Linked DNA regions of Drosophila melanogaster. The protein of the gene in region 4 purifies or fractionates together with the protein of the main gene of each other region. This does not show direct contact. Each region holds a gene or a part of one and is shown on either strand. Other genes may lie near its edges. The genes, in order: AGO2, Su(var)3-9, Tdrd3 and Rm62.

Region 1 (9,459 bases), on a different chromosome or scaffold from region 4:
GCTCAGACAAAGTACATGGGGTTTTTCTTCATGAATTCGGGGACAATCGTTCGCTTTGCGTACTCCTTCTTCAAATCCAGGAACCTGTTGGTGCTGTGACATTACAGAAAGAAATAAGTTCAATGTACGGGTAACGCTCACAAAGAATATCATACCCAGTCAGATAAACGCGTCCACGAGCAGCTACCAAATGGGCTAAATAGGCCGGAGCCGGATAAGAAACCGAGCGATTGCAACGAGGGAACATGTGGCACAGGTTGTAGGTCAACTGCTGCAACAAGTCGATGTCAAGATTGCCTGTGTTCTCAATCACATTGTATCGTGTTGGCTTGGCCGTGCCCTGGATGGCCTGGTGGCTGACCATGAAGAACTGCATCTCGTTAGGATGCACAATGGTGCGATCGACCACGGTTCCGGGGTCCACGTTGTTGAACTTGTTCGATGTCGTTACGTCGCCGCTGGGAAAGAAGCGAGTGTGATGACGCTTCACCACAATCACGCAGCAAATCTTGGGTTTACAGCCCACCTGTATATAATAATATAATAATTAACTCATAGCTAGTAACTGGTAATTTCATTTCATGTTAAATAAATAGTGAGGAAATTCAAAAACTTACCTTGTCACAGGCTTGTTTAATACACCTCAGTTCCTCGTTTTTGATTTTCGGAAACTGGCCGTCGCTCACGCCATCTCGGTAGTAGATGATATGATCAGGATAGGCGTTACGGTACTCTTTATACACGCGCAAGTGCTCCAAAGTAATCGAGAACATGTCCTCAATCTCCTCCAGAGCCCCTCGCTGCAAACGATATTGCATGTTATAACTGGCTCCGTAGGGATCGTGTGAGGCTGCTACTCCGACCACACTGGGAATCTCGCGCTGATCGGGAGAGGGATGGGTCACATCGGCTCCAATGTACATGGTGTTCTTCATCATCGGCAGACGAGGATCATCCTTGATCTTGTGGTTGATGCCGTTCAGCTTGGAGTTGATCTTAAGTAGAATATTTCCAATCGTCTGATTATTACACTTTCGTTCCACGGTGAACTGCTTAATGCATTGCGTCAAAATTCCATGCTGCAGCTCGGCCTTCTGCTTAATTGTATCGTAAGAAATTCTAAACTGAGGAATAATCACAATTGCCAGATCGTGCTGGCTGCGCTTCAGATCCGCGAAAATAGTGTCTAGGCTGCGTTCGTCATCCGTGAACGGTCTGTATGTCACATCAGAATCCAAGCTTATGTTGACTGCCTTGCCTTGGGATATTATTAGGTTCCCGAAGTCATTCAGCTGGGTATAGTTCATTTTGCGACCACTCCTCGGATCGCAATACAAGACCGCACACTTGTGCGCCTTGGGCTTGGGCTCCAGAAACTTCATGCCATCCATGCGCCACGACCCGTTCTTCACCATAGTAAACCTCTTACTATGATATTCAACCTGAGGTGGGCTTAGGACGCGGGTGCTTACCACAATAAAATCGTTGGCAATGCGGATGCCAAAGCGACTGATGGTCGGATCCAGGTTGTGCTGGAAGTATTGCAGCAAGTTCATAATCTTGCGCTTTCGCACGTTCGTCGATGTGGCTGCGTACTTTATCATATTGGCCACCTGAGTTGCTCCATCCTTGCGCTGTGAAATACATATGTTTATAGGTATATGTAATGACAATATAGCTTACGGTATTGAACACCAAGATATAGATATAAAGGAATTTAGTGAACTCACGTTTAGGGCCTGACCTTCCTCGATGCTGCATAGCTCGATGGGCAGCAGAATACTCTTGATTGAAGATCCAACGTTCAGACAATGGAGTTGGGGAAACTTCAATGGGTAGTTGCGACTGTGGAAGTAGGACGCAATGGTGACCTTCTTCCCATCGTGTTCGAAGGTCTCACTGCTGGCCGGGGCACGAGAAAGACCATTTACACGGTATACCCTTGGAGCGCTTTGAAACGACTGAGGAGGCGTGTAAACCACATTAATGCCTCTGAGGAATGGCTCAAGGAAGCGTCGCGAATAATCTAAATTCGTTGTATTGTTGATTTTAGCCTTTAAGCTAAATCGCTCCAAATATTCGATCATCGGCATTGAAATCGGAAAGGATTTGTGCGATATATCTACATTTAAAAATGGCCTATCGCCCAGCATAAATGCCTGATACAGACCGACCAGGGCCTCGTATCCATCATCCAGTTCGTGACGATTATTAGGATCGGACATCTTAAAGAAGGAACGACCGACACGGATGGCTTTGTTGTGGCAGGGTGAAGCCAAAACAACCTCCACGCACTGCATTGCTCGCATGGGCTTGTCGAAAATTCGGTCATTCATATAACTGCAGAGGAGCGCGTTCAATAGGAGTATCCATAAAAAACATAATTTATATTTACGTAGTTAACGATTTAAGGTCAATGGTCGAGTCACCAGTCTCCTTGATTTCGATCGTGTAGCGCAAAGTACGACCATTACGATCTGTCACCTAAAATAATAAGAAATAAAAACAACTAAAATATCGTATAGATTAAATTAAATTTAACTGCCACTGTATACATTTAAAAATGTTATTACTCCCAGTTGTTCATAACTTAGTAGACAATTTCTTGCAACTTACAGTCACTTCCGGATTTTGGCTATTTAACGGCAGCTTATCCACCGAGTAGCAAGAGGCTTTGCCATCATAGGCAAGAACTGCTCCGCCCAATTGGTCCACCCGAAATTGTTCAAATGCCTGTCTGTAAAACTTTTTGGGACGCTCTGGCATGATCTTCACGTCATAGTGGTATGCCACAGAAGGCATTTTGGACAGGTCAAGGTCCAGATAGTTGATGCCTACTTGCCCGGGTTTGCCGATTGTTCCGCGCTTAATGCTCCCGGCTGGCTGAGGCGGTAATGGTAATGGGGCAGCCTGCTGTTGCTGAGGTGGTCCACGAGATTGGTATTGGCCTTGGCTCTGGGTTTGGTTTGGTTGTTGTCCAGGCGGACGCTGTTGGTAGCCACCTTCTTGCCCTTGTCGTCCTTGCTGATGGCCACCTTGTTGTTGTCCAGACGGACGCTGTTGGTAGCCACCTTCTTGCCCTTGTCGTCCTTGCTGATGGCCACCTTGTTGTTGTCCAGACGGACGCTGTTGGTAGCCACCTTCTTGCCCTTGTCGTCCTTGCTGATGGCCACCTTGTTGTTGTCCAGACGGACGCTGTTGGTAGCCACCTTCTTGCCCTTGTCGTCCTTGCTCATGGCCACCTTGTTGTTGTCCAGGCGGACGCTGTTGGTAGCCACCTTCTTGCCCTTGTCGTCCTTGCTGATGGCCACCTTGTTGTTGTCCAGGCGGACGCTGTTGGTAGCCACCTTCTTGCCCTTGTCGTCCTTGCTGATGGCCACCTTGTTGTTGTCCAGACGGACGCTGTTGGTAGCCACCTTCTTGCCCTTGTCGTCCTTGCTGATGGCCACCTTGTTGTTGTCCAGGCGGACGCTGTTGGTAGCCACCTTCTTGCCCTTGTCGTCCTTGCTGATGGCCACCTTGTTGTTGTCCAGACGGACGCTGTTGGTAGCCACCTTCTTGCCCTTGTCGTCCTTGCTGATGGCCACCTTGTTGTTGTCCAGGCGGACGCTGTTGGTAGCCACCTTCTTGCCCTTGTCGTCCTTGCTGATGGCCACCTTGTTGTTGTCCAGGCGGACGCTGTTGGTAGCCACCGTCTTGCCCTTGTCGTCCTTGCTGATGGCCACCTTGTTGACCTTGTTTAGTCCACCCTTGTACCTGCTGTTTGCCTTGTTTTTTCTGTGCAGTCCATCCTTCTGCGTCTTGGGATTTTTGCTGTTGGCCTCCTTGCTGGAACCCAGATGCACGGGATCCGCCTGAGCTTGTGGATGGCTGTTGTCTCGAACCTAGATTTAGAAATCGACAAAGAATGTTTATTACAATAGGTGTTAGGTTTCGAAAAAACTGCAAGCAAACTCTTCGAAAAGTATTCACTTGGCTGATTTGAATTTGCTAACGCGAAAATAATTTGTATCACTTTAAAATACATACAGTTTGTCAAGAAACTGTTTACACACTGTGAAATAAGTTGAATTTTTGATTTTAAAGCTAAAAATAAAGGGTTTTTTGCTTAATTAAACGCAATTTTTTTATAAAATATAATTAAACAATATTAATTTTACTTATAAATCAAAAAACAAATTAAAAATATTAAATATACAAGAAAATAAACAACAAATTCCAAGTTTACACACTTTTGAGACTGTCAAGAAACTCTTTACACAAAACACTAAATCGAAGTTTAATCCTAAATTTTTTAATTATTTTATTAAAATTTTAAAAGTTTTGGTATGTAGTATGTTCCCCATTGGCTTTAGCTACAAGTTGAAGCCTTTTTTTCATGGATTGGACAAGTTTTTGCAGGTCATATTCAAACGGGATCTTTTCACACTCTTCGACTATTACAGTCATAAGCTGTTGTTGTGTTTTAGGTCCCTTTTTGCCACCTTCTTCTTTAAGTAGGTCCACAAATTTTCAATGGGGTTCAGATCAGGACTCTGAGGGGGCGTATCGATCACTTTACCACAGTTATTAAGGCGCCAGGTGCGTACATTGCACTCTTTATGTTTCTGATCATGTCCTGGTAAAACTTAAAATTTGGCTTGTTGTTGCTAACCAGACTAATTTTTTCTACACTGGCCTTCAAATTTGTTTTTTAACATTTCTAGATATTGCACGGCATTTATTGTGCTCTCAATTAAGGCTAGTTTTCCCACTCCACGGCTGGTGATACAGCCCCACATCATCAGTGACATTTTTCCAAATTTTATCGTTGGAATGATATTTTGTTTTTCTAGCGCACTCAACGGTTTGCGCCATACTCTGCTTGGCCCGTCGTTATAAAAGAGCATCATTTTTGTTTCGTCACAAAATATGACGTCATCCCAGTACTCTTCCGCATGATCCATCATGCTCACAGCGAATTAATGACGCTTTTCCATATTGGCATCTGATAGCAAAGGGTTTTTCCTTGCAAATCTTGAAGAGTACCTATGGCGTAGGATGACTTGGCGCACAGTTTCGTGTGACACAGTTAGGTGGCATTCTTGCCTGATATCCAGAGCAAGTGATCTGACCGAGATTCGGGGGTTCGCAATCACTATTCGCATAATAAAGCGGTCTACACGCTTTTTAATTTTAATTTTCCGTCCACCACCACTCTTAGGTTCAAGCCTGCCCTCTTTTTCCGAGCCTTTTAAAACATTGTAGACGGTCTTACGGGATACAGGAAACATTTATACTAATTCTGGAAAAGATTTTCCCAACTGGTGGTTATAGTTTATTAATTGGGTAACTTCAAAAGTTAATCTCTTTCCAGGCATTTTATTAAATTTAATAATTCGCTTTAAGCACGTTTGATCAGCAAAATTTCACAAGCAAAGTCAACAAATTTCAATAGAAGCGTTGTAAAAAGCAATGCGAAGCCAAAAATAACGGAAAAATCGAGTTCGTTCTAAGAAAAAGAACAAAACAAAGTAGGAAAACAAAATGTGTAAAGAGTTTCTTGACAGTCTCAAAAGTGTGTAAACCTGGAATTTGTTGTTTATTTTCTTGTATATTTAATATTTTTAATTTGTTTTTTATTTATAAGTAAAATAAATATTGTTTAATTATATTTTATAAAAAAATTGCGTTTAATTAAGCAAAAAACCCTTTATTTTTAGCTTTAAAGTCAAAAATTCAACTTATTTCACAGTGTGTAAACAGTTTCTTGACAAACTGTATGTACATAACCTTAAATGTAAAGATATATTGATGTCAAATGTTCAATTTCGCTTCATCTTTCAGATTTTTAATAAGTTTATAATTGAGTTAAAATGTCGGATCTGGTATAAATTAAGATTAAGATTTACAGATTTGAGCAGATTTTAATTCTTAATTGTTTGATGCTTCTGCCTAAAGCACAACTGTTACATTTCATAGCAAAATTCATTTTTTTAAATATAAAGGAATTTTAATTTAGTTATGTTAAGGGGAAATTCAATAACTGTTATATACAGTAGAATTCACCTTTAAGTATAATACACACATACATAGGTTCTATACAACCATGGCAGTTGAATTTCATCATGGCTGCCACGAATTCGGGAATTCCCAGGCATTTCGAAAGTTTATGGAGCATTTGATTGCAAATGGTAAATCCATATGTACAAAACATATGTATGTACATGCATGCATACATCTATTTTTTGCCTACGCCGATATATCGCACTTTGCACTTACTTTGTTGTTGTTGCTGATGCGGTTGTTGTTGTTGCTGCTGCTGTGGTTGTTGCAGCTGCTGTGGTTGTTGCAGCTGCTGTGGTTGTTGCAGCTGCTGTGGTTGTTGCTGCCGTTGTTGTTGTTGCTTTTGCTGCTGCTGGGGCTGTGGTGCTGCAGCGCTATCCTGTCCTCCTTTCTTGTTCTCTGGGGTGGTAATTGGAAAGTGCATATATTTGAATAGCTGTATGGTCCTGCAGGTGGGACAACTCACTATCTTTTTTTCCCATGATTTACTTTTGAGGGTTTCGAGTTAACTGACGACTTTTAATAGACGATTTTTTAATGCGTCACAGTCTTTTTTAGTGATGGGAGGCCTTAGGGGTGGGCGATAAGTTATTGAGCGGCACAGCTAAAGTGTTTTCTGTTATCGATTATTGATAGGAACATACGGACTAGGCGGGCCATTCAAGTGGGGACTCTATTTATATTTGTATATTTTTATACATGTTTTGTATACATGTTGCTTGTTGAGTCAAATGTATGCTATATTCGTTGAAAAGCATGTATCCGGCAAAAGAAACCGATTTCGACCTAATAAATTATATATATTATAATATATTATATATATTATATATATAAGGACCAATAGCCGAGTCGATCTAGCCATGTCCGTCTTTCCGTCCATCTGTCAGTCCGTACGAACGTCGAGATCTCAGGATGAATAAGAAGCTAGAAAATTGAGATTACGGAAAGCCCCCAAAACTTCCCACGCACATTTTCAAAATGTTTTGACATTTTTCATATTTTTATTAGTCTTGTAAATTTCCATCGATCTGCCAAAAAACTTTAAATTGCCACGCCCACAGTTATGCAAAATGTGATATTTTTCATATTTTGATTAGTCTTGTAAATTTCTATTGATCTGCCAAACTACTATTACTCCCACAAACCGCCGAAAAGCCACGCTTACAATTTTTAACAATTTTAATTTTTTTTCTTATTTTATTCACCAATATCTAATTTGCGTTCGCATTTCCAATAGTTGAGTAACTGGCATCTGATTATCGGGGAAGTTTAAAATAGGAAAAAAATTTTAATTTACTAGTTTTTTTTTTTAAATTTTATTTTGGAAGAAGACATCAGTAAGAATCAATAAATTTAATCACCACTGCTAGAAAGCATTATTTTTATTTTTCCGCCTTTAAGTGAAAAATAGTTTTACATTCCAGAAAAAGTATTGTTTTTCCATAGATAATAAATAAATAAAAGACCCAGATTCCTGCTGTTTGTATGGTTGTTTGAATTTTATTTGGAATTGCACTTTTACTTTTGCCAAATTACAGCAACCAATCATAAAAGTTTTACAATTTTTTTTGATGTATTTTCTTGTTTTGTTTGTTTTTTCCATTTTCAACGTTAAACATACAATATATGCGTTTAAAATGCTATAGCCAAAAAATAGTAAATAGTCGTACATTATTCATACTTGTATATATAAATATATCATAATGTATATTTCATGTTGTCTTTAATTTGTTTGTTTAACGCTTTATTAATAAAATTTTGTTTGTCATTGCACGAGCGTTTTGTTTTTCAACATCGATTTCTGATTTTCGTATTTTTACTAAATATCTTTCTTTTAAAAATTTTCTAACAATTGCACAACTTCGCCCGCTTGATTTATACACACATGCACAGACATACGTAGAAATAGCTAAATTATATTTTATAGATACATATTATCGAGTTGATAGGAAATCAACGGGTTACGCTTGAAATTTCCGTTAAGTAATTTTGTGTTTATAAATTCAACTAATAAAAACTAGAATGACTCATTTAGAACGCTGCGAAAAGAATACAAAAATATCTGTATAAATATGTATGTATGCCAAAAAATTGCACTAAAACGTAAAACACAAATTGTAAACATAAAAAACAAAATAATTGCTGCGAAATTTGATTAAATTGGGTTATACTCTCAAAATATCCCTTCGGTCAGTGCAGCGCCGTCTTATAAAATAAAACTTAACAAACAATAATTCATTTTCATAATTGGCTCGGAAATTGTTTTAAATTGGCCAGGCAACGCGGCAGGTGGAGAACGCAACCGAATTGGGGATACGGATACAGATACGGATATGGATACGGATGCAGATACGGATACGGATACCCATTATAAATTCGTATGCTTTCCATCTATTGAAACTCCAACTTGACGCCCGCTGGCGAACAGATGATGAAGAGAAACTTAAATGCTGCACATAGACATAGTTCGTTACATAATCCACCTATATAGCTACATTATGGAATTGTTTAGGTATTTTATCTCGTCGTCAGCTTTCGTTATTCGTTTTGAGAAATATCGTTTAAAGGAACAATAGTCATGCCAAAGACAGCACAGAGATTGAGCTCCGGGAGTCTTTCGTTAATTCATTCATTCAATCATTATTAAAACATAATGTACATGTCGCCTCCAACTGTCGGCTCAACTCCAATCTGGATTTCATATACAATCAGAGCCTATTTGCGATCGGCTTTCTTTCTATCATTCTATCGTTCTTTCATTATTATTATTATTTTTTTTTTTTGTTGTTGTCGTTAACTTTTTCATTACTTTGCTGTTTTTTTACGTTTTTGTTTTTGGTCTGTTGATTTCGTTTAATTACAATATTATTATTTAGCTTCTCTTTAGACGCTTTCTGGATTTCTGGCTTCTGCATTTGAGCTTCTCGTATTTGTAATTGTAATTGTAATTGTGGTTGTTGCTGCAGCTGGTCATTTGCCTAAGCTAGATCAAGTTTATATAACAGGAATGCATGACTAATATACATAGCTTTATAATATAGGCCCTACAAGTAGCTAGGATTACATACACATATTATTTATACGATATTAGTTATGGGCATTCTGGTCATCTCGGCCCTGTGGAATATTTATTATGGTGGTGCGGTGGAGCAGGATTGAGGGGAATGTTATACCGCTTTGTGGCTATCCAAAAGCCGAACAAAAAATTCATTAAAGTTTCCTCGTCGCATAAATTCTTCACAAACTCCCAGACTGATTAAATCGAAACAAAAAACTAAACTGAAATGAACTGAACTCAACTGACATACAAATAATAGATCTAAAATATAAAACTCGGGAAGGCGGGCAAACAAGAAACGATTCCGGCTACACAAGCCCCCTAGGATATCGAGGGGTCCATGTGAATCCGGTTGT
Region 2 (7,721 bases), 9.3 Mb from region 4:
ATTAGTTTCGGTTTGATCAACGGACACGGGAAGAATGGAGCTGTGGGACAAGAAGGAGCAGTGTGAAGAGGCCTAATAAAGATGATGCTGCCACTTTTGCCGCTGATGTTGTTCTTAAAAGTAGAACCATTCGGATCCTAACTAAATTCTACTTCTTTGCCACCTGGCTGTCCAGAACGGGTGTGATTGTCTTGCCTCCGAAGATCTGACCCCAGCCAATCAAACTGAGGAGAAAAAATACATCATTAAGTTGTGATTTCAAATACAATTTAAGGGGGGCTGTATACTCACCGCCAATGGTTCTCCACACGTCTGCTGAGTGCAATCTTCTCGCCCTTCTCCGTGCACACAGGCGTCGTAAGAACGATCTTGGCCAAATCACCTTTGGTGGCCGAGATGCGGCCACCAGTGCTGAGGGATCCGATATTAACCAACAGGATTTCGTTCTTCTGCAGCTTCTCAACGCGCGCTCCCTTCTTGTCACCATCGGTACGGACGCCGAGAAGGCGACGCAGCAGGTAATACGAGATTTCCAGCTCCTGGTAGATGTCCGGCAGCTGGCCAACGGCGCCTAGCACCTGACCGACCAAACGATCGGCACGGCACAGCGTAGGATCGATCTTGGTGCCCACACCAATCAGACCGCCGGGCACGGCGTACTGCAGCTCATTCTGTTCGGCGAAGAGCGAGACGATACGGGAGAAGATTGGACGGCAGGTGATGTTGCCATCGCTATCCTTGGTCACAACGCCCGGACGCACCTCGATCTCTTGGCCTACCTTCAGCACGCCGCTCAGAATGGAGCCACCGGCCACACCGCCCTTAAGGTCTGCCACCTCACAGCCTGGCTTGTTCACGTCGAAGGATCGGATGACGATCAGACGGGGCGGGGCATTGAAGTCACGCGGCGGCACTGGTATCTTGTTCACAATGTACTCGCAGAGCACATCGATGTTGTACTTAAGCTGGGCCGAGATCGGAATGATCGGAGCGCCCTCAGCTACGGTGCCCTGGACGAATTTGGTGATCTCCTCGTACTGCTCTTTCGCCTGGCTCTCCTTGATCAGATCGATCTTGTTTTGCAAGATCAGAATCTGTTTCAGCTTCATAATCTCAATGGCGGCCAAATGCTCAGAGGTTTGCGGTTGTGGACAGGATTCATTGCCTGCACATGGAATAGGTAGTAATTTGTATATCTTTTGTCGGTTCAGAGAGATCCAGGGTTACTCACCAGCAATGAGCAGCAGAGCAGCGTCCATCACAGCAGCACCGTTCAACATGGTAGCCATAAGAATGTCGTGACCGGGGCAATCCACGAAGCTCACATGTCGCACCAGTCTGAAGTTGCCGGAGCAGTTGAGCCGAGTGCAGGGCAAGCTGTCGTCCTTGCTGGATGCATCCGATACGAAGCTGGCCGGGCGCGGGCACTTGGGGTTGTCACACTTGTAGATTTTGGCGTTGGCATAACCTAAAAGCAATGCGATAATAATTATGAAGAATATTACAATACATTCTTCGAACTCCTGGCCTGGCAAACACGTAAAATAATCCTTCGTTCTTCACAAGGAATTAAGTGCTATTGCTAACTAAATTCATTTCTTTGATCCTTCCAGATCATTTATACAGCCACAAACAAACATCACTTAATAATCGTAAAATATTTATTGTAAAATAATAATTTGCACTTAATGCGGTAATAATTTCAGCACATTACAAGGTTGTTTGTCAAAACACTAAGTTATTACTAAATTAAAATTTAAGTTTATGAAATGTATACAAGTACAAACTATATAGAATTACTCGTTTTATCCTCTAGTAATATAGATCCTCAAACATAATATAGATCCAATATATCGATATTAGCATTTATTAACAAATAAATAATTAAAACGTCGGAATATAAAATCCAACTAGTAATATATATATATGTTAACAAAAAAAAAAAAGGTTCAATGCAATGATGTCTCAGGTGGGTAACGGCGTGCCATTTAAATATAGTACTTCAAGTCCATTCAAAAGAGGACCTTTCTGCAATTATCAGCTCCGCAGCGGCACTCGACACGCACAGCTGTCGAGAGGTTCTCGTAGGGCACATCTTCGTTGTCCGCGCGAATGTAGTCGAAGCTCAACTCCTCGCCCGCCTTGATTGGACGCAGTGTGAAGAACACGAGGTGCGGCAGCGCGACATTCAGGTGCTCGATCCAACAGGGGAACACGGCGAGATTAGGATCGCAAGAGTGATTGATAAAGTGCGAGATGTTGCCATAGTTAGCTGCATCGATAGTGTACTCGCTATCCTGAGCTGTGTTGTAATCCAAGTCGAACAGATATGTCCTCCCATTGTCGTCATACGCCTTGCCGCGCTCATTTGCCTCATCGCTGGTGATGATCTCTCCAATGTACTCGCACACAAATTCACCCTTACGCAAGGCAGTTGCGGCTCGCACCCCCCATCCGCTGCCGTTGGCGGTCTTAAACAGCACCAACGGTACCTGGCGTCCGTGCTGCACCAGACGGTTGGAGCAGCTTGAATCGCACGAGCAGCGGCTATTGCACTCATAGATGGCACTTCCGGGACGAAGGCGCAAGCGCCGTGTGCTTCGCTCGTAGGCGAACAGCTCGCCGGCGAAGCGGGCACAACACTTCGTAGAGGCAGTACACTCCTCTGTGTCTTCAGTGCACTTACAGCCCACAATCCCCGCTTCCGGCTTGGGCACATCCTTGCCGATTATGTTATCATGTATGTACATGAAATTGCTGTCTATGGTGTCCAGATCAATGTTGTTCTCAACACGTATTGGCGGTGACGGTTTCTCCACATGATTCATGCGCTTCTCGAACAATGCTAGATCAGCCAACTGCTTGCGTCGTACAAATTGGGCCCGCTTGATTTGCATGCTTTTCAGGGCTCGTTCTCCAATTTTCTGCGGTTCCCTTTGGCTTCGACTGCCAGCAGCGCGATATTGGGCGAGCAGTATAAGATCGATCTGCAGATTGAGTGGCTCATAGGCGTCTACTTCGGCCACCGTAATGTTCTCCATTAGTGGCAATGCCTCCAGCTGCTTCTCAAGCTCAGTGGTTATCTTGGCTATGTATATCTCGTAGAGCTGCTGATGCCGCTCCACAAACTTCTCCATTTCGGCGCAGTCGGCCACGTTGGCAAGACTTTCCCAGGTGTTCTCGCTATCATGGTATCCCAGCCATTTGACGAAGAAGACTGGCTGATATTGATCCATCTCGACGCATTCAATACGCTCCACAACGTACTCTCCTTTGGGCGGCCTTTTGGCAATTACTCCCATGTTATTTTTCGACCGCTTGGAGTTGGGAGTTGGGGCGCCCACACAACTGCTGCGTCGACGCTTCAGTTTGGCGAATCCGTTGAGACTGGGTATTTTGTCCACATCATGTTCCTCGCAGCCAAAAACGCTGCCATAGCCGCTACTATTGCTTGGACTCAGTGAGGTCTGACTGGTGCTTCGCCGGGTGGTGCGTCTATCTACACTGGAGGTGGATGCTGGCATGGAAGACGAAGCTGGCTTGGTGCAGAGGCGGCGGAATCGGCTATGTCGCCGCAATTCGGCCAGGTGGCGCAGCATTGAACGCTGTTTGATTTCATACTGCTGTCGCTGCTGCTTGGAGGTCAAAAGATTTTTGATTTTTTTTTCGCTCAAGCGTTCTGCAAATGACAAGTTTTGGACAATTGTGGATTGGATGATGGGTTTGGTGTGTTTTTTTTTTTATTTGGCGGACGCGTCGCAACCGAAAAAATCGTAAAAACAAGAGAAATAGGGAAAAAGAAGAAAAAGATTGGCAATTAATTAAATTGCTGGATCAGTCGTATCAATCAATGTAACAGATTCAAGACTAAGCTAACAGGAAGATATGCTTAATACCAATCTTTGGGAACGCTTTTTAATTCAGCTTTGTAAAGTACAACATTCTAAAGACAACTTCTTTTATCATTTTAGACTACTTAGGCGACGACACAAGGCAACGCGTGCTAATCCAGCAATTTAAGTTAACAAAATACACAAGAATTCGAATTACAAGAGACAATCATTCGCAGAACCCTTTTACAACATTATCTCGATGTAAAGCAGCGACAGAGTTGGCTACGCGGTGTGCCGTCGCGATACGGTGTTAAAAAGTGGTTCTTAAGATAATTATGGGTTATTTTCGGCCAGCCGAGAAGGTTTACAATCTTAGGGCACTACGGGGTTTACGGGCGAGCAGGAAGAATTAACATACGGCTAAATTATTATCAAGTAGAATAATACATCTTAAGATTATATGCTTAGGCTAGCTTACACGGATCCCTGACTCACCCAGCTTGATTGTGATGTTGCGCTCCAGTTCGTTCTTGAAGCGCACAGTCTGCACGCCGGATATGGCTTTGACCACCGTGGATTTGCCGTGAGCCACATGACCGATGGTGCCGATGTTGATGGTCGCCTGTCGGGAGATGACCTCCGGTGATAGAGGCGTTAGTTTAGAGACGTCCTGCAAGATTCCAAATGCAATACGATAAATAAAGGCGCTTTAATAGAGGAAAATCAGAGCACAAGTCTTGTTTACCGCCGCCACACCCCCTAACAAAACATCCCCTCTCAGATGCATGTGTGTATATAGGAAAGCCGTCAATTTTGAGGTTAGAATGTCGCTTGAATTGCATCAACTCAAAATTGATGACAACAGTCAGGTAGTCCTCGCGAAACTGATCTGCTTGCCAGAGCCCAAATACCGCCAGAGTCCGCATCATGCCCATATGCAGAGCCAAAGTTGCGGGATAAACCAAACAGACCCTAAATGTAGCGCCACGTGCTGCATTTTCACCGTGATCTCTCACCCACAACAAATCACTGCTGGCCCTGGCGAAACCCACTGGTATATCCCTCGAAATTGGTCCGCGAACCGTTCGAGACAATCTGGGCGCGTCCTTGCGACCCGCACCCCGCTGTTTTTCCGGGAAGCGGCTCCATAATGACGACGCGTATACTTTCACACACGGGCGGAAAAAAAGGGAAGGCGGCGTCTGGCGGTCGTCTTTGCTGGCTGCTTACCAAGTTGCTGAGGTCCTGCTTCTGCAAGTTCCTGTTCACACCGATCTGGGCTTCAGCCGTGGCCATGTTGCTGATGTTTTCAAAAACGATGCGTATGCAAAATGAAAATAATAATTTTCAGCTATTACAGCTCGGCATCAAATCTCGATATCGAAGAACGATTGGACCCGACAATGCCTATCGATAGTGCTCTAATCATGGTTGGCCAGTGTTGGACACGTCACACCGGTGCCCAACTGCGATGCGTATCGATAGAGTGCCGCCCTATCGATACACTTACAGTTCTTCAGCCGCAAACGAAAGGTTAAAAATCCGCTTCGCTTCTCTTCTGCTCAACTGTACCGCCGCTTTTTGTTCAAATATCTCGGGAATTACGAGCGTACACACAACGGAAGAGCGTGCAGAATGTCGAGCGTGCCAAAGCGAGCCAAGCTGGACGGCGCCCCCGCCGATGGCAACACATCCGCCGCCGCCGGTAACAACGAGGAGGAGTCGGAGGCGTTGGAGCAAATTGATGCCTGCCAGAACGAGATCGATGCGCTGAACGAGAAGGCCAGCGAGGAGATCCTCAAGGTGGAGCAGAAGTACAACAAGCTGCGGAAGCCCTGCTACGAGAAGCGCAGCGAGCTGGTCAAGCGCATCCCCAACTTTTGGGTGACCTCGGTGAGTACTTCGATCCGCGGCCATGTTTGTCCCCTCCGCGTGTTCGTCTGATGGGTTCTAGTGGAGCCGACTAGATCTTTCGAAGCCCTGAAGTGATGGTAATCGCTGCACACATGTACAAGAAATTTTCTCTATTCGAGGCATTTTTTCTTGTTCATCTTTGGGCTGCAATGCCGACACCACCGGCTCCCCGCGCATTTTCCCCCTCCCGGAAAAATCGTGCTATCGATATATCCGTCTGGCCGGGAAATACACAACATAGCACAGTTCAAAATGGCTTCAAATCAAAAACCACTGAAATATTTGCTGCCATAATTGAAAAGAAAAGTAGTGCCATAGGGGCCATAAACATGGCTTTCTGCTTGATAGCATGCATCCCCTAGCTAATCCCAACTGCCATATTTGCAGTTTATCAACCACCCGCAAGTATCCGGCATTCTGGACGAGGAGGAGGAGGAGTGCCTGCACGCGCTCAACAAACTTGAGGTTGAGGAGTTTGAGGACATCAAATCGGGTTACCGCATCAACTTCCATTTCGACGAGAATCCTTACTTCGAAAACAAGGTGCTCACCAAAGAGTTCCACCTGAATTCAGCGGGTAAGTTCTCCCAACGATTGATTCAAATCCGCTTAGCTAACCCATTACTATTTCAATTAAAGCTGCTTCCGAGAACGGAGACTGGCCCGCGTCTACCAGCACGCCCATCAAATGGAAGGAGGGAAAGAACCTGCTAAAACTTTTGCTGACAAAGCCGTACGGAAACAAGAAGAAGCGCAACTCCGAATACAAAACCTTCTTCGATTGGTTCTCGGATAACACCGATCCCGTCAACGACGAGATCGCAGAACTGATAAAAGACGACCTTTGGCCAAATCCACTGCAGTATTATCTGGTACCTGATATCGAGGTGGAGCCCGAGGACGAGGAGGACAACGAAGATAATGATGAGGAGGCATTTGACGACGAGGACGGTGAGGATGGAGAAGGCGAGGAAGAGGAAGAGGATGAGGGTAAGCTAATGGAGTGCCTTTTGAACAGAAGGAATTTACTAACCACCTAACCAACCATTTTAGATGACAAGTAAACTGATTAATGCAATTTCAAATCGCTCGCAACCGAAGGCCCACATTGTTTATAACCACTGGCAACTATAGTTTTCCCGATGGTTATGCAACATTTACATATTCGCAACGATTTAAGGACATATTTAGGTTTCGAAATAAGCAAAAGTCATACATCCATTAAAGAGCAGCAGAAAATGAGAATCACCATTAAATTAATTTAAAACAAATAAAAAGACGTAAATCGAATCTCAAGCCGTGTCTTTTTATGTAAGTAAAGAATTACCAAAGTATTCAATTCGATGTTTATAAAATAATTTATTACTTTATTAATTAATATTTATTAATTAATTAATTATTTAATAGCAAATTAGAGGTGTTACTATTAAGGTAGATTTTGGGTACCCAGAAATACCTATCTTTTAATATATCCTTTAAGAATTACTTTAAAGTCAGAATATCATTTTTAAAATGAAAATTCGCTTTTATTTAACTAGCTAGTATAAATCTTAAAATCTAGCTATTTTTTGTAATCGATAACTGTCCTGCAACCCTTACGCCATTCAAAACAACCCTGCCACACGTCGAGTAGCAAGTAACGTAGCCCTGGTCACAGCTGAGATTTTTAGCTGAAAAATTGTCGGGATAAAAACGATGGCCTCTATTAACAAATTGGCACTTTTGGTATGTTATAATGCGAATAAATAGAAAAAAGTGAACAAGCTCCGGTCAATGCCAAGCCATTTTAAGTGCATGTCAAATTTTTATTGCGTTTGCAACCCGCTGTCGCATATGTAGAATTATCTAACGCGCGTTTCTTGGTTATGTAATTTTTGCCCATCTTAACCCACGAACCGCGGGTAGTTTATGTTTAATAAGCCGAAAAACTTACCAAGTGCTCTTGTTTGCTTATCCCGCAGAGCCGCACCCTCA
Region 3 (7,039 bases), on a different chromosome or scaffold from region 4:
GTTGTATTCTTGTATTCTTGATCATTTTATTCAGTGAATTTATACTTACACAATTTAACAGTTTTTGTGTGGTTAATAATAAGAAATCGATTATCGTTTTTACATTAATGTTTTAGATACTTTGCGGGCATTATGTTTACTGTAAAGAAAGATGTTTGGTTTTAGTTTTTATTTTCATGTTCGTATGGCGGATATACGGCTTATTTATGTTTTTATTGTGAATTGGTTGAGTGTAATGTTTTTAGATTTGGTTATGTTATTAATGTTATGTTATATTATGTTATATTTTTGGTTTTATAGAGCACGTGTTGTTTTCTTTCGTATTTATGTTTTTAAGTAGTTATTTCTCATGTAGAGTTTACTTTCACTTAGTTATTTCAATAAAGCACATTTATTGTCTTTGGTTTATAATAGTACTATACATTAATGTATGTTGTAATCTTTAATGTTTATAATTACCGTTGTGTTCTTGAAATTTGCACACAATTTCACATCTTAAGTATTCTAGTCCTGAATTTTCCTATTGGCGATTTCACATTTTAGATTACTTTAAAGACCGGCTTGTTTGTACGGATAATTATTTGGATATTGAAGAATTGATTAAATCATCTTCGTTGACTGCCAGTAATGTTCGCTAAATCCAAAACAGAAATTGTTTATATCTCGCTTCTTATCGGTTCCCAAACAATTGTGTGTACTTAGTACAAATATACAGACGGATTTATAGAGTGCGCCTGCAACTAAGAATATATATGTATATATGTACATATGTATGATAAACAATCCAAAGTGCTGTGTCTTTATTTTTCGATTTACACAATTTTCATTCTAATTCGGTTACGCAAAATTTCATAAGAGCAATTTTCACACTCGCACCGGCACAAAAGGGGGACGGAAAACTCGGAGGAGGGTGGCATCTCGGGGGGAGGAGAATCCGGTGGAAAACACTTGCACAGAACGAGAAAATTCGCCAGCATAATTAAAAGTAATTTTCAAGTTGTTTCTTATTATTTTTCTGCTTTTTTTTTTGGTAGAGGTGCTTGCTCTCTTTTATTTTTCCTGCTACTTTTTTCGCTGCGTGTATGCGTGCGTTTTGTTGTTGTGCGGTTTTTATTTATATGCGACAATAAATGGGTATTATTTATCAGTAAATTGCGAGCGCAGTTGGCGATCAAATGCAAATTCCAGAAGTTTTGAGCGTAATGTTGATTTTTCTTGGCTTTTTTATATACATGGCCGGATTTTCTTTGCCTGACGTTGTCTTTTCAGTTGTTTGCAGGCTAAACAAAGGCACTTTTCACGAATTTTCCGATGTTAGTCTACGGTTTATGTGGCTGGTTATGGTTGAAGCGTATTTAATTGTAAATTTGCACCAAGCCCGAGAATCGAGAAGGATTTATTTTACCATTTTTCTTTTTACGTGCTGAAAACAGCAGACAGTCGCCAGTGTTGGCCAACTTCGCAAGGCACTCGCCGAGTATCGCATGTGGAAATGAATGGTGGGATCAATCATATTTTCCAGTATTTAAGAAGTGACACATGCAACACATTTAATGACGGGCAATAATAATTTAATTTCGTTTATTTTAATGCCATGTTAATTGCTCAATAAAATCGGCACAAAACATTGCACGAATATCGACAACCGTCGCTTTGCAACACCGCATGCGAACTTGACAACACTGGCGCATGTACTACACGATGATTTTGCCATCATATGAAAATATATGCGCACAATACATGCATATGACCGCATTGCACTTTTATCTGATTAGTCAGTTATTTATACGGCTCGTTAATCGTTTTGCATGCTCAGCAAGCAAAATTTACTGCGCTGAACCCTTTCCAGCGCGTTTATGGCAAGTCAGCCAGCCAGCTGTACACTTGCTGGCCAATTTGTGCGTACATTTCGGGCTTTTGCACTCTTTTTGCGTTACCTTTGCACTAAATCCTATTGTTTGTACACTACGGACTAATTCTATTTTACATGGTTAAGCACAAAACTATGAGAGAAAATGCACATCACGTCGAAAAATGTTAAAAATAAGTTATGTATGTATGAGGGAAAATTCGCGAAATGCACCAGTGCTGAGCAGCGGCGCGAAATAGTGCTGAACATGTCGCGCAGAAATCAGGGACAATCGATAGTACTGCGCCAGGAATTAATCGAATTCGAATAATGTTTACAAAGAAATGTTAATTACTAAATTATTAAATAAAACTTTGCTTAATTCAATTTTTCACGTTATAGGAGATATATTCACTTAATAGGTAAGACGTAATCAACAGTACGCTTTAAATTATATGAAAGTCAGCAGATTACAAAATACGTACTCATAGTTTTAATATTCTGTAAAGTTGTTTATTCGAAACATGTTAATTGATTTAAATACGTTGTTAACAGGCTGTTACCATGTTGTCTCAATGCTCTCGTTTGTGGGGCGGCACGTAGACTTGCTGCTGCTGCGTCTGACGATCTCCGCGGTAGCGTGAATGTTGCTGCTGCTGTAGATGCGGTTGCTGTTGCTGCAGATGCGGTTGCTGCTGCTGCGCTGAGTTGCTCAGTGGCCTGTTTTGGGCATCGGTGATGGGCAGGATGTCGACCTTCAATACCTCCTCATGGTTTCCATAGCCCATAAAGAAGACCACGCAAGTTTTCTCCGACACGCCCGTGATCTCAGCCTCATAATACTGGAAAATAAAGAAGGAATGATAAGTTAAGTTCAATAGATCAATTTGAATACTTTGTCCTACTACAATTACGAATGTACTTTCAGTTTATCGACCTAAACTCACCCTTCCATCGTCCCAATACTTGGCCATGCACAAGTCGCCCTTCTGCCACATCCACGCATCGCCTGGCACCATGCCGAACTGATCCCGTGGCGCAGCCTGTGGCACAGCCACTGGAGCAGGTTGCGCACGGGAAACAGGAGCGGAAACGGGGCCAAAGGACATGGGTGGCGATTCCTGCTGTTCCTCCTCCTGTTGTTTTTCGTTGGGCAGTGTAACACCCTGGCTCTTTAGAAGGTTCATGGCAAACTCGTTGGCCTCCTTGCTCTGGAAACCCATGATCTTGCTGGGATCGTAAGTGTAGCCATTCGCCAATTGACTGTAGTTCGCCTGCGAATTGTGCCTGGGATTGTGATGCTTTTGGTTGGTTTGAGCCTTCTCTGGCTTCTGCGAATGCAACTGTGCTGGCTGCTGCTGCTGCGTTGTTTCTGTGCCCGATCCCGCCAGGCGATTGGCTTGTCCTCCTTGCTTACGTCGATTCTCTCGCTTTGGCGCACTGCTCACCTTGAGATTAGCTGTTTCCTCGGTTATCTTACTCAAACGGGCGTTGAAATCATCGCCAGCACTATTTGTCGATTTCGCTGCAGAACTCGCCGAAGTTAAGCTTGCTGCCGGCTTGTTTCGTCTGTTGCCATTGGCGTTGCCGTTCTCTGCTCGATTGGAGCCTCCACGATTGCTGCCTCGTTCGCTGCCACGTCGGTTGCCAGTGTGGTCCTTCCCATTGGTTGTTTCATGATCTGGCTTAATCTCGGAATTCGGTTTCAACGATACGTTATCCGAGCCATTGCGATTTGCGGTTTTTACGGTTGGCGTTTCTGGTTTGTAACGTCCAGCTGCACGATCATTGAACGCTCCTCGCTCTCGCGGTGGTCTCTCCTCTTTCGGCGGTTTTTCTTCCCTCGGAGGCCTGTCTTCCCTGTAGGCTCGCTCCTCTCTTGGTGGCCTTTCGTCCCTGCCGCCACCCCGGTTACGGCCACCGCCTCGCGACGAACCCACATGTCCACCACGATGTGCGGCAAAGCTGCTCGATACGTTGTTCTCAAACCTAGAACGATCTGCAAACTTGCCGCCTCCGCCCATAGCTGAAGGTTTGCTCTCGGAATCGCTGAAGCGCGAGCTTCCATATTGCTTAAATGGATTGAAGTGATTGGTAGTGGGTGGGGCAGTCGGAGCGGCAGTTGGAGCGGCAGCGAAGGTTTCTGCATTACTAGCGGCCGGTGTTTCCTTGGCGGGCAGTTTATTGGTTAGGAAATCAAACAGCGTGGTGTTGGCAGCCGGCTTGGGTGCTTCAACTTCGTCCTTGGCGCTAGCTCCACGCTTTCCCTCTCTGGGCGGACGATCTCCGCGTCCCGGACGACCCACGGATTCGATCGGACCCACACCGCCAGCTTCACTGCGTCTTTTTAGATTGTATAGGGCGCGCTCCAAGTTGTTTCGGGTAGCAGATAAGGCACTGCGGGCCTCCTCCTCGCTGAAGCCCTTGTCTAGGATCTTCTTAACATTGTGATCGATAATGTTCTGGCCACCGCCGCCAAAGATCTTCTTGCCGCCGGCCTTGGTGGCCACGGCAATGGCCTCTGTGCGCATGGCATTGAACTCTTCGTTCTCCTTTGCCGGCTTGTCCTTGTCGCCCTCGCCCAGGCTCTTAAAGTTCATTTCGCTTTCGGCGTTGCTATCGATTTTTCGGCCAAATGCCACCCACGGGGGTGGCGCTGATGTCCCATTCAAGGGGCGCCCACTGCGCGCATATCTCATCATGGTCCTGGCCAGATCCCATTTCTCGTAGAGTGCATCCACACGGCCGCCGAGCAGCTGAATTTCACTGGACTTTAGCAGCAGGAATCCCTGCATAAGCTGCAGTTTCTCGGCCTTGAAATAGATCTTGCTTCCGGGAGCCACATTGAGATTCAGTTGGGGAACTGGCTCCAGCTCCAAGGCCTTTATGGAATTCTGCCCATCACTCAGATCCAACTGAAGGAGGCGTGGCGCCGCCTTCGATTCCTCATTCGCCTTGGGAGCGGCAATATTTCGCACACGCTGAACCTGCAGCACAATTTTACCGGGCAAAGTGGCATCTTCGCGTTTCGCGGGCAGTGCGCCACCGCCAATATCGCGCAGATCTCGCTGCAAAGTGTGAGTAATAGGTTATAATTAATAATTACACAGAATGCTGAGCAGCCGGTTCGCCTACAACTCACATTCAGTGCATCATTGACTATTTTCCGGACATCCTCGCTGCCGACGGCTGTTGTCACGATTTTAAGGCCCTCCTCTGTCAGGTACCTGCGTAAATCGTTAAGAAGCATTGTATGCCACAATTTAAAATTGTACTTACCACCCGACTTCTCGTAGTTTCTTGCCTAATTCCATTTTTTCATGAAGACGATTTTTTTGCAACTCCGGACTAGGGATGACAAAAGTATTAGATGTGTGTACTCGCTAGTGATGTGCTTGGCGGCAACTATCGGCTGACGGTGCATACTATTATCGTTTAAGTTTAGGTTGTTTAGTAATATTAAATGCTTTCTTAAAATCTAAAAATTTTAATATTTCTTGCACACTTATTCAAATTAAATATAATATATATATTATGTCCCAAGAGATAATGTCAAAATTGGGTGCAACACATATACTAGCATATATATTTTTGATAGATGTACTTATATATCGATAATTAAATTTTATCAGTTATAAAGAATTGGCATTATAAATCGATTTAAAGTCGTAATATCTACATGTTTAGAACAAACAAAAGAGTACCCTATACGCACAGCCACTCTAATGACAGTTCTAGTTTAGGTGGTAAAGCGAATAAAATGCGGTCACACCGCGCCGCAATGAATGTATAAAAGGGGGCTGCCATCCGCAGAGCGAGTAAATAACGGTTCGCGAGCAACAACTTTTCATTTCGAGAGCGGAGTAATTTTTCCAGCCGACCGACAAACAGTGATTGAAAACCCAAACGAGATTTATTTCGAAACGCGACAAGAAATTGTTACATCAAAGGAGCTGCAACGACTAAAATCCGCGAAGAAAGTGCGAGAAAATACCTTAAAGAGAGAAAAAACCAGTGACGCAGTAGCAACAACAACAAACAGTCATCGAACGATTTATAGAATCTAACGCCGAGTCCAAAGCATGAATCTATCATTCGCTGGCTGCGGATTCCTGGGCATCTACCACGTCGGAGTGGCCGTCTGCTTCAAGAAGTATGCACCGCATCTGTTGCTGGAGAAGATCGGAGGCGCTTCGGCCGGTTCCCTGGCCGCCTGCTGTCTCCTCTGCGATTTGCCATTGGGTAAGTCTCTTCCCACTTGCTTACATGGGTGGGTCTAGAGAGGGAAGCTTTCGGAATCATTAAGATCTGCCAACTATATGATAGCGATTCTCCAAGGCGAAACAAAAATAAATTTTTTATTTTGCTTTGCATAAATCTTAATTTGTTAAGTTTCTTGTTTCTTTTCACACTCCGCGTCTGAACTTGGCCTTTGCACAATGTTTTCTGCTTGGGAAAACCCCTGTGAATATTTTCTGCACCCCTCTGGTGTTTTCTCTACTGCTCTCCCCTCTTCGTGCAGAATGCACACACACGAACACACTCACACTTGCGTTCGCAAAACAGCTGAGTGCAAAAGCAACCACACTGGGCAGTTCAGTGACTCTGTGAGTGGGAGTGAGAAAGAGAGCGAGTGGGAGTGGGAGAGCGCGAAAGATGCTGCGAGGCTCAATATAAAACGCATTGAATTGAATTTTATTGATAAGCTTGTTTGCGTTTGTAGGTCGCTAGGAAGTCAATGGGGATCTTTCATAATTGACTGCGATAGTGTGTGTGTGTTTTTGGGCGTGTTTGTCCAATTTCGAAGGGGGCTCGTCCCATCCGCTCAAAAGAAAACTGCGGCGCAGTTGAAAAACCTTACGAAAACAGAAAAACAAGTTTCGTATGCCCGGGACAACGCACTTTTGTAAAGCGGCACCCGAATATATGGGCAAATGGTTGGGCACAGCGGTGGGTATATGAATAGCAACGCAGTCCGAAAACATTTCATCAAATACTTTTGCAAAGAGAATAAACTAAATACTTATGCTATGAGATTAGCCAGAAACTTTATAAATCTAAATTGAAGATAAAATCACTCACAGCATATCTTATCTTCAATTGCCAATATTAAATTAAATAGATTAAACTGGCCTTGTGATTTAGAATTGCGATTTCTTTTGCGAATTGATTAAAGTTAATTTGCGTCAG
Region 4 (6,570 bases):
CCATGTCTTTATTAATCACTAAGTCCATTTTTGTTTGATTTGAGTTGTGAAGCCCTAAAGATCTTTTCTAGTTTAATCTCCGAACTAAAGAATCTTTTAGGAATATCGTATTTTCTCATTCTGTTCAGTGAATTCGCAATGTGAGTGTTAAAAGGACAATGCAATAACCAAAATATAACATCACATCGATACGTGGGCCTTAAAATTTCAAGAAAATACCATATGGCATATTATATATTCTAAATTAGTTTTGAAACCCCTTTCAGATGAATACGATCCCTACGGACCCGACATCGGTGACGATGACCTGGGAATCGACGATCCGGAGACCATGCCCCGCTTGTTCCAAGGCGACATCGCCATTGATCCGTACACCTACATCACCCTGCGCCTGGGCGTCAATCCAATGAGGCATCCAAAACGACTGTGGCCCAATGGAACGATTCCCTTCGAGATAAGTCCGCGGTACGCAAATCAGGAAAGACAGGCCATTATTCAAGCCGTAAAAACCTTCAACTCCCTAACGTGTGTGCACTTTGTGCCGTACGATGGGGAGGTAGATGACTACCTGTTGATCGAGCCGCCTTTGGAAGGACCGCAAGGATGTTGGTCCTACGTGGGCCGAAGAGGAGGTGAGCAGGTGGTGTCCCTCCAGAGACCCGACGAGAATAGTGCCCACTGCTTCAGCAGCGAGGGCAGAATAATGCACGAGCTGATGCACGCCATCGGCATATACCACGAACAGTCACGAGCAGATCGGGACAACTTTGTCAAGATCCACTGGGACAACATTGTGCCGCGGTTTAGGAAAAACTTCAAGCTGGTGTCGAAGAAGAAGGGGAAGTACGCCTTCGACTACGACTACAACTCCGTGATGCACTACGGCGAGTTTTACTTCAGCAAGCGGAAGGGTGAGAAGCCCACCATGACCCCTCTACAACCTGGAGTTAGGATCGGGCAGCGAAAGACCATCAGCAAGATCGACTGCCTCAAGATCAACGAGCTGTACGGCTGCTTGCAGGGCCGCAGGGCCAAGATGTACCGCAGTTTCTGCCACCTTCTCGGGTTGTAAGTGGACGTGGACCTAGACTGGGATATTTGTTATGAATCACATTGATTTGATATTTAATAAACTTTAATAAAATAATGCGTAGACCCTTATACATATTCATTCTTGGCTGACCCACCCACCAAACTAACTAAACATATCCATTACTTGCAGGTCCGGGTATACTAGGTTCAATTATGAAAATTTAAGAGATAGATAGAAATGTGTGGGCATGCATACGAATTTTCTTGATCACTAAAAGGTTTGATCTTGCCACATGCGCAAGTGTCATAGAAATATTTTGCTTAACTTAGCAGAGATAGACGTGGTTTAAAGTATTGCCATCTCATATGCACCTGTATAACACTGCTAGATAAAGCAGTGCCTTTACTGCTTGCTAATGCGGTCACTTGGTGATCACACTTATATATTTCCATACCCCAAAGGAGGATAAAATTATAACATACCTGAGAACACCCGGGATCTTTAGTCATCTTTGCAACATGCTTCGTATAAAAACGAAATTGAATATAATCTGTTTTTATTGTTAACTTCACTAAAATAGTTCGTAATGCAATTAGATATATTTATTTATAAAATTATTAATAAGAAACGTATTACTTACCGGTTTTTCATATTTCACTTTAAGAAATTGAGCAAAATCCACTTGACACGTTCTACAATCAAATGCAAATTCAGTGTTCGAAACTTTGCTAGAAGAAGGCTGTAACATTTATTCTTGTATTTTTGAACACTCCCAAGGAAAAGTGCGGCAGGGAATTTTAGTACTGAAGAAGGACATATGAACTGGATGTTTGGGTGGCTACGTGTTATCTGCTATTTTTGTCTTTATCAATTGATTTGTTAAAAATGTCACACAGCAACTCCACCTTTTGGAGAGGGTTCTCTCCGAATTTTAAAACCGATTGACCATGGCCTTTACAGTACAATTACGATATACGATAGTTCGTGGTAAGATATTTAAATAAAGTACAGTGAGGTAGTTGGTAAATTTGTAAGAGCTTACAGATACTCATTTTCATTAAAGTGCCGTAAATTTCAATTTTTGGCATTTTGAAAAATAAGTGCATTCTTTACTGGTGTTAATATATGTGGCTACTTAATCCTCCATAGATGCCATTTTATTTTCCAGCATAATATCTATATTTAGCTATTTCCAATCATAACTATGATTCTTTCAATTTAATTCGCTAAAACTCGAGTGAAATTTTCGATTTCTTTCAGACTCATTTTTTAGATGTAAGCAATAAAATTATGTGTAAATTATAAGATTTCTTTAATAAGTATTACTTTTTATAGACTTGAAATGGTCAACAAGCAAGTTCTATGAAATTTTGAAATTAATGATGAAAATTCTGTGTGTTGTACAATATTATATTTTCTTATAAATAATAGGATATATTTTTCCTTTCAGAATATTGAGCCAACCTTATTTTAATTCTTTAAAATATTAGTAAAAATGATGCGAGATTTGCGCTTTTGGTAGATTTCAAAAAATTTGTATTAATTGAAAATGTTAAATAAACCACAAATGGGGTGAGTCTTTGCTAAATGCTCAACACAGAAAGTTGTTTTATGCTTATATTTGTTAAGGTATATTTACTAATCTCCGCACAGACTACGTTTTGGTAGGCTAGGAAATTTAAGACATTTCCGAATATTAGGAGTACGGACCGACGACGAGATACATTTAAAGTTCGTTTCAGCAGAATCTTAAATATTAAAAACTTAGCGGGCAAGTAAATACACCGCGTTCAGCTGATTATCGATAGCTAGGAAATTTAAGACATTTCCGAATATTAGGAGTACGGACCGACGACGAGATATATTTAAAGTTCGTTTCAGCAGAATCTTAAATATTAAAAACTTAGCGGGCAAGTAAATACACCGCGTTCAGCTGATTATCGATAGCAACCAGGTGGTCACTCTAATAGACGTTTTCATGCGAGCCCGCTGCGGTCACACCAACTTCTCGACCGATTTTTCCCCTCCATCTAGGGTCACTCTAATTTTGGACGAGGTTAGGTAAGACACGCGCGGATGCCGCGCTGCGTAGGATAAATCCGTCATTAGCATAACCGCATTGAAGCTAAGTCTTCGGGAAAATGCTTAAGCTTGTGCAATACATAGCCCCCCGGGTGGGCGGCGCCACGCCCCGACCGACTGCCTGCGGCTGGGGCAACTTGCTATTGATTTCCCCGAGAAGTGGCGCGAGCTCCGAGAAATGTATAACGCAACGTCGCCATTTTCTTTTCTCCTCCGCCAGCAGCAGCGGCACTTTCGCTTCTTCTTCTTCGCTCTGCACCGAACAACGACAACAGTTCCACGGGAGTCGCAGGAATCGTGAGACAATACTGTTCCCAAGCACATATAGTAGTCTCCAAGCTCAGTCGCAGCGTGCGTTTCGAGACAGCTCGAAACCAGATTCAGACGACTACGTAGATTCCATCCCGAAAGCAGAGCAGCGGACGAGGACGAGGAAATCGCTTTTCAACGATCCCGACGAAAGAACTGAGGAAATCAAAATTGAAGGAGTAATGTGAGTACGCCGCAAGATTTCATATGAAATGCGTTGGTTTTTTCCACTCACTGTCGCCATTTTATCACCCTTCGTGCCATTCCTCTTTTTTTTTTTTTTTTTCTGTACACCTACGAAGCGAGGTGATGAGTAATTAGTGTGAGCGAAAGAGAGAGTTTGGGGAGAGAGAGAAAAACACATGGTTTGCTAAATTTTGTCAGTCGGAGGTGAGGTTTTCAGCCATTTGTTGTTTTTTTCTTTGTGTTTGCCCCCGCACATCCGCAAAGGAGTAGCAAAAGCAACAAGAACGACAGCGCACGTCATAAAAAGAATTTGCCTGATTTGTGAAACGTGTTCTTGCTTCGTTTGCTATTTTATAGCGTTTTAATTTGTCTGTATGCCCCGAACATGAACACGCGCACTCACACAGCGGCACATACGGACTTGCTTGTATGCGTGAATGCCTGTTGACGGCGGCATTTTCTCGTGCTCGTAGAACAGTTCGAACAGTGTGTGCGAGCGTATAACAGTCGGCGGCTGTCACTGACTAGCGCCGTCCTGCTCACTCGCCAGCATGCCTTTCCATCACATTCTTTCCATGGCTCACACGAGGTTTTGTAGAGATATCGCGATGTTTTTGGTATTGGCAATTTTATAATTTGATGTAACCATCCCGACATAGATTTATACTTACTATGCTTAATTTGGGAAGTGAATGGGGTTAATGGTTTGCTTCGTTTGGTTATCTAATGCGTACATTGAAATATATAATTTCAGTATAATTCTGTATACTGAGGACAATTTTAGGGAAAAGTAGGGTTATTCTCTTAAAATTTTCTCTACACTATAAGTAAAGGTTCCATGCAAACACATTTAACTTACAGATTATCAAAAATGCATTTTATCGATCATTTTATCTATTTTGCTACGCTCTTTTTGTGTTTACTTATCATGAACCATGCTTGTTATGCAATAAAAATTATTTATTAGAAAGTTATACTATAGTATTGATAAAAACTCAAGTAACAACCAAATATTAAATGGTAATAGTAACCCAGTTCGTGAACTACGCCATCACATAAACGGCCCCATTAGTCTAAAATGTCAAATGACGCCAATTGATTATGAGCTCCCCCTTTGGCGAGCGCGCGATTCGTCTTTTCGCATGTCAAAAAGCGACAGGTAGACACACAGAAAGTCAAAGGTGCCCCCAGGGACTGTCCCCTCCTCCCCTCGGGTGTTTGCCCACCGTTGAAACTAGGGGCAAGACATTTGGCTGTCTCATAAATGTTCAGAGCGTTCCGCTTCGCTAGTTGGGCACAAACGTTAGCGTGCCAGTGGGTCCTACAAATAGACGTTTAGGGCGGTACGGTGTTCCAAATTGACAGAGTAATAGACAAAAAAAAACGTGGGCCTGGATCGTGGGTGATTTGCATGGTGCACCCCATAGTGATGCCCACTAGGATCACGAAAATGGAGCTTACATACGAAGTAAAGCGAATATAAAGTGGAAATTTATAGAAGTTAGTTCGTAACACAATAAACATAATTTATGTTGTAAATTTTGTTTTATACAACTTTACCATCCAACTTAATCTTGCACTATATTTATTACCACATTGTATATACACTCCGCAGAGTTAATATTATTTTTCCCTAATTATTGCAAAGTGCTAACATATATAGGTCGGTACCTTCGCCAGTTCTGACTGGAACTAGAACTGCGCCAGGTTGATTAATGCCAGAGCAATAAACGCAGGGCTTTGTACATGGGGCTGTTTAGTTTAGTTGAGCATTTAGGGGCTGATAAACTGGGGTGAAAAATTGGTGGGAGGGTGGGCTGTGAATAGAAACCCTGCTCGAATTGCATGTTGTTGTCAATCAAATTTGCCTTACTGTTTGCATTATTCGAAATTTATTTAATTTCCCTAACACGCAATTAGTTTTTATTTAAGTTTATTGCGGTTGTAGCACAGCACAACTCCCATGTCAGCTGTTTAGCAGCGTCGAAAGAAATCGAAAAGCGAAGACTTACCTTCCAAGCCAAGTCGCAGTTGAAATCCAAGTCCCAACTGGCAGACGTCTAGAAACGGCAGCATGCGAGCAAAGTAAGCCAAGTCACTCGTTTCTTTTTTTCCTCAATTTTCTGTCAAAGAAATACTTAAGAAAAGAAAGTGCAGCTGTCTACGCCGAGCCGGAAAAAATGATTCCAGTTAAGCATGGTTTAATTCTCGAAGGTCCCTTTTATCAAGGGAAAATTTATGACACACAGTTTCTGGGTAATGTGTGTGCAGCGCAAAATTATTTTAGATGGCAGATAAGGAGGAATTGATTATACAAATGTACAACGCGAAATTAAAAAGTTTGTGAGAAAACTATCAAACTATATCAACTTCAGCGAAATTCGGTTACAAAGCTCAAAGTGGGATATTTTCTTAAAGATTCCACTGAATTCACGGCAGCGAAATAACAAGTCGTGAAGTCGTTCAATTTCCATGAATAAGGAAAAGGCCCTTGATACTTGACACTAAGTAAACTTCGGCAATGCAAGATAAGCATATTAGAATTAAATTACTTTAATCTCATTTGCCTTTACCAAAGCCAATTACCATCGCAACCATTAATTTTGCCAAAGTTATCTAGAATAAATTACAATACAAAAAGGCACACAGGGTACGCGTGAATTTTTAATTTATCAAGTTAATGGGAAAAACACTTGTAATGCCACTAATTTAATTTTTTTTATCTCGAATAAAACAGCATCAAGATAAATTGGTGGTCAAAGATCAAACCAGTACAAGAAACTGCAAACTACTACCTTAAGTTCAAATAAGCTGCAAGATGATGATGATGTGAGATTTCTTTTCTTGAGCATTCCGTTTCTATTTTGCATACTTAGATACTCATCGATCTTCCTTTATTATTTCCCAGGGCACCACACGATCGCGACTTTGGTCACAGTGGACGTGGCGGTCGCGGAGGC

What was found.
Region 1: the proteins of Rm62 (region 4) and AGO2 purify together in Drosophila melanogaster (affinity purification with western blotting; 2 studies listed by BioGRID, with this or other methods). This does not show direct contact.
Region 2: the proteins of Rm62 (region 4) and Su(var)3-9 purify together in Drosophila melanogaster (affinity purification with western blotting; one study listed by BioGRID). This does not show direct contact.
Region 3: the proteins of Rm62 (region 4) and Tdrd3 purify together in Drosophila melanogaster (affinity purification with western blotting; one study listed by BioGRID). This does not show direct contact.

Annotation. Positions count from the first base shown.
Region 1 is NT_037436.4:15,551,275-15,560,733, reverse strand, and holds the start of AGO2 (argonaute 2), read right to left. Parts: upstream 6,622-9,459; 5' UTR 6,528-6,621; coding exon of another isoform or gene 6,512-6,527; 5' UTR 6,470-6,511; coding exon 6,262-6,469; intron 3,912-6,261; exon of another isoform or gene 3,885-3,911; coding exon 2,617-3,884; intron 2,485-2,616; coding exon 2,396-2,484; intron 2,341-2,395; coding exon 1,731-2,340; intron 1,635-1,730; coding exon 618-1,634; intron 527-617; coding exon 156-526; intron 94-155; coding exon 3-93; 3' UTR 1-2. UniProt on the Drosophila melanogaster protein: Essential for RNA interference (RNAi); double-stranded RNA induces potent and specific gene silencing.
Region 2 is NT_033777.3:15,258,219-15,265,939, forward strand, and holds Su(var)3-9 (suppressor of variegation 3-9), read right to left. Parts: upstream 5,241-7,721; 5' UTR 5,130-5,240; coding exon 5,064-5,129; intron 4,720-5,063; exon of another isoform or gene 4,621-4,719; coding exon of another isoform or gene 4,579-4,620; intron 4,504-4,578; coding exon 4,329-4,503; intron 3,680-4,328; coding exon 2,013-3,679; 3' UTR 1,646-2,012; downstream 1-1,645. Other genes in the region: eIF2gamma (eukaryotic translation initiation factor 2 subunit gamma), read right to left, coding at 149-224, 292-1,165, 1,232-1,468, 4,329-4,503, 5,064-5,129; Set, read left to right, coding at 5,469-5,726, 6,135-6,324, 6,387-6,737, 6,801-6,811; ATPsynO (ATP synthase, oligomycin sensitivity conferring protein), read left to right, coding at 7,443-7,472, 7,709-7,721. UniProt on the Drosophila melanogaster protein: Histone methyltransferase that specifically trimethylates 'Lys-9' of histone H3 using monomethylated H3 'Lys-9' as substrate.
Region 3 is NT_037436.4:14,784,971-14,792,009, reverse strand, and holds Tdrd3 (tudor domain containing 3), read right to left. Parts: upstream 5,220-7,039; 5' UTR 5,164-5,219; coding exon 5,129-5,163; intron 5,077-5,128; coding exon 4,992-5,076; intron 4,918-4,991; coding exon 2,797-4,917; intron 2,692-2,796; coding exon 2,422-2,691; 3' UTR 2,345-2,421; downstream 1-2,344. Other genes in the region: bmm (brummer), read left to right, coding at 5,932-6,091.
Region 4 is NT_033777.3:6,005,075-6,011,644, reverse strand, and holds the start of Rm62 (Rm62), read left to right. Parts: upstream 1-3,071; 5' UTR 3,072-3,174; coding exon 3,175-3,608; intron 3,609-3,916; exon of another isoform or gene 3,917-4,199; intron 4,200-5,530; exon of another isoform or gene 5,531-5,684; coding exon of another isoform or gene 5,685-5,695; intron 5,696-6,347; exon of another isoform or gene 6,348-6,428; coding exon of another isoform or gene 6,429-6,439; intron 6,440-6,518; coding exon 6,519-6,570. Other genes in the region: CG10280 (uncharacterized protein), read left to right, coding at 249-1,072. UniProt on the Drosophila melanogaster protein: As an RNA helicase, unwinds RNA and alters RNA structures through ATP binding and hydrolysis. Involved in multiple cellular processes, including pre-mRNA splicing, alternative splicing, rRNA processing and miRNA processing, as well as transcription regulation.